Linked DNA regions of Rattus norvegicus. The protein of the gene in region 1 purifies or fractionates together with the protein of each later gene. This does not show direct contact. Links are inferred from orthologs where the notes say so. Each region holds a gene or a part of one and is shown in the gene's direction. Other genes may lie near its edges.

Region 1 (2,983 bases):
AGAAAGCTAACTTTTGACTTAAAGACAGGGAACAAAATTTTAAATGCTCCTGTGGGATACATCTTTTGATAACACGCACACTGCATGTGTAAACAGGTTTCCTGTCTGCCTGTTTTATGTTAGTCTAAAGAGGCCTAAAATGTCTTGTGATAGCTATCTCTGCGTCATAATTTATTTTTTTCAGAACTTTTTCCTCTAGGAATCTTGTAGAATGATCAAGTTTCCGACTTGCTTGTTTCTTTTCTAGAGTTACTTGTACCAAATCCTCCAGGGGATTGTGTTTTGTCACTCCCGACGAGTTCTTCACAGAGACTTGAAACCTCAAAATCTATTGATTGATGACAAAGGAACAATCAAACTGGCAGATTTCGGCCTTGCCAGAGCGTTTGGAATACCGATAAGAGTGTACACACACGAGGTGAGCAAAGCCCTGAGATTGTGGTTGCTGGAGTGCTGCCTCTGGTCTTTAAGCCAAGAAAGAAATACTTGGTTGAAAAAAGTGTCTGCAGCTAAGCAGTGGTAGTGCACACCTTTATTTAATCCCAGCAGAGGCAGAGGCAGAGGCAGGAGAATCTCTTTGAGTTCAAGGCCAGCCTGGTCTACAGGGCATAGTCAGGCCTACACAAAGAAACTATGTCTCAGAAGACCAAAAAAAAAGTTCTGTAGTATCAGTTTATTGCTTTTTTTTATTATCAATCCGCTCTCGTTTATGTGGACTATAGAGATGGAATCTTTGGCATCGTTTGTCAGGGGAGATTGATTGCTGCCTCAGCCTCAGGGAAGGGGTTTATTGTAGTTTTTGGGAGTTCTCATTTCTCTGTATTGACCTTTCCCAGACCTGTGCTCCCTCCTGATTGGACCCTGCTGTGGTCATTCAGATCAATTAAAAAGCAGGTTTTGCTGTCTGAGGTACTGTGATTAGATTTAGGAGCCAATTAGTGCTAGCGGAGGGAGCACTGGGGACCGAACCCCAGCCTGTGCTGCCCGGATGTTCTGTCACTGAGCTGTGCCCTTGGCCTGTCATCAAGCTTTGTCAGTGGGATCTTGATGGCTGGCATCTCATATGATTGCTCTGTTTTATTATTTCCTCTGTAGTGGGGTTTGATCCACAGGCCTCACACACTCTGCCCCCTGAACTGTGTTCCTGCTCCTTGTTTTGAGAAAGTCTCACTGACTTGCCCCGGCTGGCCCTGAGGTCACTGGAGTGGATAGACTTTGGCCTTGGGACTCCTGCACTGGCCTTCCCAGTAGCTGGGATTGTAGGTCCACACCACCAGACTGGGTTTCTCTGGTATTTCTGGAAGGGCGTTGACTTAGGAACATTGGCGCCCGGGGAGTTGTGAACCTGGAGTTAGAGGGTCGGTCCCTCCTTGTGTCCTTGGGTTTTTGAGGCAGAGTTCTCTGTAGCCTTAACCGGCCTCATTGACTGGGTAGCTACCTGCTTCCGGCCTGCCTGCTTCCTGGGTGCTAAAACTGCACAGACGTGTGCCCTGCCGTGCCTGCTCAAGGCTGTGCAGGGCTCTGGTCCTGCACATGCTGCGTGATAGGGAAGCTCTCCACCCACTGTACTGGGGTGGCCTCTGTCTTGTCTATTCCATTTTATTTTTTTCACAGTTTATTACCATGACAGTTTGATGGCCGTAACTGCTGCTGACCTCATTGGTCACAGAGGTCGTAGATTCACTATTTTTTTTTTTTTTTTTTTTTTTGGTTCTTTTTTTTCGGAGCTGGGGACCGAACCCAGGGCCTCGCGCTTCCTAGGTAAGTGCTCTACCACTGAGCTAAATCCCCAGCCCCAGATTCACTATTTTGATAAATAAACTAATTAGTTCTAAATCACTAATCAACTGGGTCCCACCCACTTTGGCTTGGCTTAGCTTTTTTTTTTTTTTCCCTCTTTTTTGGAGCTGGGGACCGAACCCAGGGCCTTGTGCTTGCTAGGCAAGCGCTCTACCACTGAGCTAAATCCCCAACCCCTGGCTTAGCTTTCTTATTCATGGTAATTGGAGCTACCATTACGTGTAAACGTAATGCACACTTTGTCCAGCATCTTTCCTAAACCATATATTACTATTTAGTGCTTTTTCTTTAAGTTGAAAAAGAAAGTTGTTTTGTCTATCTGTCTGTCTGGCCTCAAACTCACAGAGATCCACCTTCCTCTGCCTCCAGAGTGCTGGCGTGCTGGGATAAAGGTGTGTGCCACCCGGGTGTGTACCCAGTCAGGCAAAAGCTGCTGTGGTCCATTGACTTCGGTGATCTGAAAAGCAAGGCGTTTATTGTTCTTACCCATTAATGAGCAGAAGTCAGACATAAAATACCTTCACCTTCGTAATTTGTATGTAGCCAATTGGCTTAAGTTCCCGGTGACACCAGCACAGCTTCCTAAAAGACAGCCATGTGTGATCTGTCTTGTGCCAGGTAGTGACGCTGTGGTACCGGTCGCCAGAGGTGTTGCTGGGCTCGGCTCGCTACTCCACCCCGGTTGACATCTGGAGCATAGGGACCATATTTGCAGAGCTGGCGACCAAGAAGCCGCTTTTCCACGGCGACTCAGAGATTGACCAGCTCTTCAGGATCTTCAGGTAACGGTGTTTTATGCCTAAGCTGTTCAGAGCCCATCGGTTAAATAATCAGGGCGCCGTGTATGTAATAGGGCTTTGCTTTCCTTTCAGAGCTCTGGGCACCCCTAACAACGAAGTGTGGCCAGAAGTAGAGTCCCTGCAGGACTACAAGAACACTTTCCCCAAGTGGAAGCCGGGGAGCCTCGCGTCCCACGTCAAGAACCTGGATGAAAACGGCTTGGACTTGCTCTCGGTAAGTGAGCTGTTCTTCAGGGTTCCATTGTGGTGCCCTTGCATGTTCGTAGGACAGGTGGGGGTGACAGAACATATTCAGTCCTGGACTTGGAAGTGGGCAAAGTCAGCAGTTGAGCCAGGCACCTGCCCCGTGTACTCGTGGTGACAGCTGCCTTTGAGGCATGAAG
Region 2 (3,652 bases), on another chromosome or scaffold:
CACCTGGGGTGTGTTTGGGCTGCAGATGCTCTGGGTGTCCTCTCCTGGGCAAAGGTGCAGCAGTGGGTAGTGTGCAGCTGGTTGTTTAGGTGGCAGGGGAAGGAGGTCTCAACCAAACAGCACTGAGAGGCAGTCTCTTCCCTCACCCTGGCCTCCGTCTGCCTTACTTTCCAGAAGGCCCGGGTCTTCCGCTCAAAGTCCCTGTGTCACGAGATTGAGAGCATCCTGGACAGTGACCACCGTGGCCTGATTGGAGATTACTCTAAGGTAGCATTCTAGGGCTTCAGGAGGCTTCTTTCACCCGCTCTGGAGCCCTAATGCAGGACCCATCTGTCCCCAGAGGTCCCCCCTTCCCTCTGTGTCTTTTCATTCTTGTTCTCATGCAGACTCTTCCCTCTGGGTCCCCTTCCGATGCCACCTCAAATCTGTCCAGGCATCTCATCCTCGAAAAACATTTCCAAATCAATCTCTGGTATGCAATCTCCTGCCTCAGCCTTCGGCTTTCAAACCCAAGAGCAGGAAGCAAGAAGGTCTAGGGCTTTTCCTTCCTCTTTTACCCTCAGAAGGTTGTTCCCTGGGTGCAGGCCCCCAGAGGTTTCACTCAGCTGAATCTGAAGGCTGAGGCCGGTGTTGCCTCTGTCCTTCCAGTCTCTGTGTCTCAATGTGTTTCCCTGACTCTGCCTCATCCCTCCCTTCAGGCCTTCCTCCTGCAGACTGTGGATGGCAAACACCAAGACCTCAAGTACATCTCACCAGAAACTGTAAGCAGGGTTGAGCCACTCTCCAGGTGCATTGGGGACCACCTTCTCTTGGCTCTTGTCTTCCTCTGGGGATGGGCTGCATGTATAGACTATCGGAAGAGAGAGGGAAAACCTTGACTACAGTCTCACCTGCTGGCACCAACCCTGATGGCCTCCTACAGATGGTGGCCCTGTTGACAGGCAAGTTCAGCAACATCGTGGAGAAGTTTGTAATTGTGGACTGCAGATACCCCTATGAGTATGAAGGCGGGCATATCAAGGTGAGACGGGTGCTGGTAAGGCCAGGCCCTCCATTCAGATTCCTTGCCGAGAAGATGAATAGCCTTCCATGGTGAATTTCCTATGGGGAGGATTTCTGCTCAGCAAGAGGTGGGGTTACTTACCTGGGAACTGAACAAGAAGGGCCATGGTGCAGGCTTCAGCTTGACCCCCAGATCCTCTGACAGAATGCTGTGAACTTGCCCCTGGAACCGGATGCCGAGACCTTTCTGCTGAAGCATCCCATCACGCCTTGTAACCTGGACAAGAGAATCATCCTCATTTTCCACTGTGAATTCTCATCTGAGCGTGGACCACGGATGTGAGTCCTAGCTCTGTCCCATCCTTGTGGTCAGTGGCCAGCCGGGGCCCACCCTCGGCTTTCTTTGCCTGGTACTGAGTGCCAGAGCATCTTGCTGCATGTGATAGTTTAGAGCTGACCTCAGCTCTCCTGTTGTAGACGACGTATCTTACCATTGTCTTCCTTCCACCCACATCATCAGACCGTCTTCGGTCCGTTGCTGCATACCCACAAAACGTAGTGCCAAGTACAGTAGCATCCTTAAAATCTGAGGATACTGTGACACTCAAGCACTTGGAACCCTGCTACTGTGCTGACGACCACTGGGGTCCATTGCTTTCCTTCAGCCGTCTTTCCTCTGTCCCGGTGTTCATGGTTATTCTTCTGCCTCCTGGTCCAGGGTGGCCACCAGCTCCACCTGGCAGCTGTTAGCATCTGTCTCAGCGGACCAGAATCTCCTTCCCATTCCCTATACACGAACTTCACCCCTCTAGCACAGGGTTCCAGTTTTCTCATATGATTCTTGCTGGGCAATGGACCAGTCACGGAGCTTCACTTTTTTGATCTTTCCGATCCTCCCTTCCCATCTTCCCTTGAGTCCTTACCACCTCTGATCCAGGAGACCCTGGAGTATATGTGGTTTTTCTATGTTGCTGTACCCAGTGTCTGCTACCTAGTAACCAGTCTTGCCTAGCAGGTGACATGCCTGTGCTGAGAAGTCTGTGCACGTGGGGGCTCTTAATGCAGTGTGTACAGGGCATGGTCTCTTTCCGGCATGCGACCTGCCCTGAACCACCTCCCATGATACTCCAGGTGCCGCTTCATCAGGGAACGGGACCGTGCAGCTAACGACTATCCCAGCCTGTACTACCCTGAGATGTACATCCTCAAAGGCGGCTACAAGGAGTTCTTCCCGCAGCATCCGGTACCATGGGTGGGATGGTCACAGCTCTCCCATCGTGGACTGTAGGAACAGGACCCAACTAGGCTATAGGCCCTACCCATACCCCCACCCCCAGCCCCCAGAACTTACTCTTTCTCCCATACTGATGGACTCTTCTCATCTTCTCATCCCCTAGAACTTTTGTGAGCCCCAGGACTACCGACCCATGAACCATGCAGCTTTCCGGGATGAGCTGAGGAACTTCCGCCTCAAGACACGCAGCTGGGCTGGGGAACGGAGCAGGAGGGAACTCTGTAGCAGGCTGCAAGACCAGTGACGAGCCAGCCTCAGTCCTGCCACCATCCTTACCTCAGGAGGCTTGCGAGCCAGTGGGTCCCATGGGCCTATGCGGCCACCTACTTGCTAGAGGCCTCAGGTGCTATAGGGGGTTGGGGGGATGGTGTGGTGTCACATCTGTCTGTCCCTGTCCTCAATTTTCCTGTCTCACTCCACTAATTTTCTGTATCTTGGTACTGATCCCATCTTAAAGAGCTGAACCAATGGGTGAATACCAGCTAAGAGGAAGTCCTTTGTGTTCAATGAGAGCCCTTTTACAATCTCCTTTTTCCTTGTTTGTGTTGACTCCTTGTCTTACCCCTTCGCAGGGAGAGCCTCAGCCCTTTAAGATGAGCACAGTAGCTTCTTGGGTAGCCTGGATGCAGGACGCTACACTGCTGCACAGGGCTGTGTCTGCTCTCCTCTCCTGGCCTCTGCACAGATTCCTCCATTGGAAGCATAAGTGCTTACTTTTCCTGTTGTCGTCTTACCCATAGCTTTCATTTTCGTCTGTCTCACTTAGCGTGTCCCAGGACACACTGACAGCTGGGGAGGCTCCCTTGTACAGCTGGGGACTAGAGATTCAAATATCATGTACTCATTAGGCTTGGCTTTTGTTAGCCCACAAAGGGATCTTTTCCTTTAAGACCCCCAGAGCTAGAGCAAAGGCCTGATTCAGGAGCCTCTGGGAGCCCCATCCTCACTGCTGTGAACCCTAGAGCCTCGCTGGTCAGCACTTGTTGCTGGGCAATGAACCAGTCACTGAGCTTCACTTTTTGGTCCTTCTCTGTCCCTCCCTGTCCCTCTCTGTCCTTCTTTCCATATCTGGTCCTGAGTATGCATGGTTTTTCCGTGTTGCTGTACTAGTGACAGAGTCTAGGCCCTTTGTTGGATGGTCATGGATGCACAGTGCCTTGTACACATGTATGCACACAAATCGAGTGAAGTATTTTGGTAAGCATGATGGCCTATGGCAGGAGTGTGTGTGTGTGTGTGTGTGTGTGTGTGTGTGTGTGTGTGTGTGTACAAAGTCTTTACACTTAGCATTTGGAAATATTAAAGAAATATTGTCATAGGGGAGGGAGGAAGAAGCAACTTTTGGGTTCAGAATCT
Region 3 (3,652 bases), on another chromosome or scaffold:
TCTGTTGATGGGGAAAAAAAACAAACCCTAAATTTCGGAGTGATAGTCATTCTGTCAATGATATACATTATTATATTTCATAAGGTATATTCACTGTATTTATGAAATAATAAACTTGTATAAAAAGGTTTTGTAGACCAGGGGAAGAGGATCAGTAAGAGAAAGTATCTGTGAGAACGCTTCAGCGAGACCCCCCTCCCATTGCGCATTTTAAAAACTAATATAAGTTGTGATTAGACGTGATGGCGCATGCCTTTAGTTCCATCACTCAGAAGGCAGAGACAGGTGGATCTCTGTGAGTTCAAGGCCAACCTGGTCTATGTAGCAAGTGCCTGGCCAACCAGAGCTACATAGATAGATCCCGTCTCAAAAAACCAACCAACCAAATGGAAATGTTCTATAAACAAGTAAAATAGTGACACAAAAACTGACTAATTTAAAAGCTGTTACAATGTAGTTGGAAACTAGACAGTTAGAATCCAGAGCAATCTGTTTAGTTAGAGCCCCTGATGTTGAGAATCCGTAATAAGCCATGTTATATTGACTTTTCCCAGCATGAACAGGGCTCAGTTGAGATGTTTGAGCATCTGGTTAACTCCAATGAACTCAAACTTGTCATGAAGAACTATGGTCTCGTCCCTGAAGAAGACATTACCTTTATCAAGGAACAAATTATGGGACCACCTGTATCACCAGTCAAAGACTGCTTGGTAAGTTTTTAATTCGTGTTAATTAGAGTGAACTGTACTTCCTGTCTGATCTGGTCCTGTTGTAGGAGTGCTAAATGTTAAAATGTAAGTTACATGCATTTGCCTTCTAATATATACGAGTGATGTCTTTTCCCCTGATCTTGAGTTCGTTAGACATTATTTCCCCCAAACGATAGTTAGCGTCTGCAGCCTCAGTACTTGGGATGCAGAAGCAAGAGGATCAAAATGTGGACGTATACATCTTGGGCTGGAGCGATGGCTCAGTGGTAAGAGAGCTATGTAAGCATGAGTATCTGAGTTCAGATCCCCATCACCCATGTCAAAAGCCATACTTGGTCACAGATACCTTTAGTTCCACCACTCAAGGGGCAGAGGCCAGCCTGGTCTACATAGACAGTTCCAGGACAGCCAGCCCTTTGTAGGGGGAGCCTGTCTCAAGTAAACAAAACAACAGAAATTTAATTAAAAATAAAAAGCATGGCTGGACACAGGCTTGTACCCGAGCACTGTGACCTCTGGTACATCTGGTATGTGTGCACACGTCTGTACTGGTGCATCTTGTATGTGTGCACACGTGTGTACTGGTGCATCTTGTATGTGTGCACATGTGGGTACTGTTTTGAAAGATGCTGTGCTGGCACATGGTTATTGTGGTCTGTCAATAGAGAGGTGGAAGAGGAGGAAGAGAGGTGAAGGTGAAGTTCTTCCTCGCCTGGAAAATGAACTCAGGGCGAGTCTGTCCAAAACAAAAAGAAAGCTGAGTTTGAGGCCAGCCTGGTCTATAGAGCGAGCTCCAGGATAGCCTGGGCTACTGGGTAAAAACAACAACAAAATCGGAGAGGAGGAGCTAAGAGAAACATTTTTATATACATATATAAATACATACACATGTATGCACACAGAGGGAGGGATTGTTTTTGTTTCCCAGGGCAGGGGTGGGGAGGAGTCTTGCTCTGTAGCCCCTGCTGACTTTGAAGTCATAATCCTCCTGCCTCAGTCTCCTGGGTGCTGAGATTACAGATATGTGTCACCACACCTAGTGAAAGACATTATTATTTTAATATATAAATTCGAGGTTTGCCATTTAAGGAACTTTTTTTTACTAGTTCATAATTAAATAAAAATATTGTTGGTTTGGGGAAATTTATTAGTAGTACCCTTTCGGCAGCACTGGAAGGCTCAGTATTTCATTTATATAAAAATTTAAGTTACACTTTTACTTATCTGTTTGTGTGTGTGCTACATGTAGAAGTCACAGGACAGTTTTCTGAAGTCTGTTCTCTCCTTCCGCCTTGTGGGTTCTGGGGATTAGAACTAGGTAGTCAGGTTGGTAGCAAGAGCCCTTACTTTGATTTTTTTTTTTTTTTTTTTTTAAATCGGAGCTGAGGACGGAACCCAGGGCTAGGCAAGCGCTCTACCACTGAGCTAAATCCCCAACCCAAGAGCCCTTACTTTGCTAAGCCATCCCACCAACCCTTTATAGACTTCTGATTTACTTGTTTATTTTTGTGCCTGACATTTGACCCTCACTGGTGCACGCCAGAGCTGCATCTCCCGCTGTGAGACTTGGTGTTACCAGCAGAGCATAGCGTGCACTTCACCATTTCTTTTCCTCACTACTTCGTTAGAAGCGAGAAGGAGAAAGATCGTCTTCTTCAAACTTCAGTGTCTCGTTTACAATCTGCAGATCGCTACGGTTGCTTATAAATAGATCCGTGTCTACCTAAATCCTCCATGAGATTCTCTTGTTTTCCAGTGGCCGTATAAGGGGCGCCCCGCCAAGAAGAGCTTCCTGTACGAGATAGTGGCTAACAAAAGAAATGGCATTGATGTGGACAAATGGGACTATTTTGCCAGGTACGCACTGAGCCAGAAACAGGGCTAAAAACCTTTGTGTAAATGTAGAGGTAGGGCTCACCCGGCTTAACCGGAAGTTGGGCTCTGTGATCCTGTCCGCTTCCTGCGCCGCCATCACTCCTTCTTCTGGGTGTCAGGTTAGCTCTCAAGCTGGGTCAAGGTAGAAGATGGTCTCATTTTGAACTGGGAAAAATTCCCTTTTTCTCAGTCTGCTTTCTTCTTCACGATCAAGACTTTGTTCTTAAACTTACTGAAGGATTTTAGTAATAAGCGAGAACAACATGAAGGCCTTCCGGGAGCTTGTGCCTCATGTTGCTATGGCCGTCAGTACATGATCTTTTGTTGGTTGACATAGGTGTCACTATATGTCTTGGCTGGCCTTGAACTCACTACACAGACCAGGTTGTCCTTAGACTCATAGAAATCTGCCTACCTCTGCCTCCCAAGTGCTGGGATTAAAGGCATGAGCCACAACACTCTGGCTCCCGTGGCCAATCTTCTTGTTTGTTTATTCTACACTCATTATTTTATTCTGATTTTAAGACAGGGTCTCACTGTGCAGACCAGTCTGGCCCTCAGTGCGCATAGAGATCTGCCTGCCTTTGCCGCCTGAGTGATCTCCCATTAACTTGAAGTAAATCTCAGGCTACAGAGCATCTCGTGGCAAAACGTGTCCGTGTGGATCTGTAAATAAAGTGTCCCTGTTAAATCTAAAAGCACTCTGCAATTGTTTGAAGGGTTTTTTTGTTGTTGTTGTTTTTTGGTTTTTGGTTTTTTTGAGGCAGGGTTTCACTTTGTAGTCCTTGCTGTCCTGGATCTCACTGTGTAAATCAGACCAGTCTCAAACTCAGAGATCTTCCTGCCTCTGCCTCCGGAGTGCTGGGAGTAAAGGTGTGCTCCATCACTCCTGACTAAGATATTACTTAACATAGGGTTAGGATTTAAAGTTCCCTCGCTGTTTCATAACTGCCTTGTTACTATTGGTTTACAATCCATAACCCAGCGTCCACACACTGTCTCTTGGTGATGGCTTTCTAGTCTTTTATTCTGTAGCCAATCCCCTAACATCTTCCAGAAAATTTCCC

Evidence for each region.
Region 2: the proteins of Cdk1 (region 1) and Cdc25b purify together in Homo sapiens (affinity purification with western blotting; 4 studies listed by BioGRID). This does not show direct contact. The link is inferred for Rattus norvegicus from reciprocal best matches to the Homo sapiens genes CDK1 and CDC25B.
Region 3: the proteins of Cdk1 (region 1) and Samhd1 purify together in Homo sapiens (affinity purification with western blotting; 3 studies listed by BioGRID, with this or other methods). This does not show direct contact. The link is inferred for Rattus norvegicus from reciprocal best matches to the Homo sapiens genes CDK1 and SAMHD1.

What each region holds. Positions count from the first base shown.
Region 1 is NC_086038.1:19,275,175-19,278,157, forward strand, and holds part of Cdk1 (cyclin-dependent kinase 1), read left to right. Parts: intron 1-247; coding exon 248-418; intron 419-2,418; coding exon 2,419-2,582; intron 2,583-2,672; coding exon 2,673-2,814; intron 2,815-2,983. UniProt on the Homo sapiens protein: Plays a key role in the control of the eukaryotic cell cycle by modulating the centrosome cycle as well as mitotic onset; promotes G2-M transition via association with multiple interphase cyclins.
Region 2 is NC_086021.1:138,866,554-138,870,205, forward strand, and holds part of Cdc25b (M-phase inducer phosphatase 2), read left to right. Parts: intron 1-174; coding exon 175-267; intron 268-698; coding exon 699-761; intron 762-922; coding exon 923-1,021; intron 1,022-1,207; coding exon 1,208-1,341; intron 1,342-2,133; coding exon 2,134-2,245; intron 2,246-2,399; coding exon 2,400-2,540; 3' UTR 2,541-3,652. UniProt on the Homo sapiens protein: Tyrosine protein phosphatase which functions as a dosage-dependent inducer of mitotic progression. Directly dephosphorylates CDK1 and stimulates its kinase activity.
Region 3 is NC_086021.1:166,193,909-166,197,560, reverse strand, and holds part of Samhd1 (deoxynucleoside triphosphate triphosphohydrolase SAMHD1), read left to right. Parts: intron 1-554; coding exon 555-710; intron 711-2,466; coding exon 2,467-2,567; intron 2,568-3,652.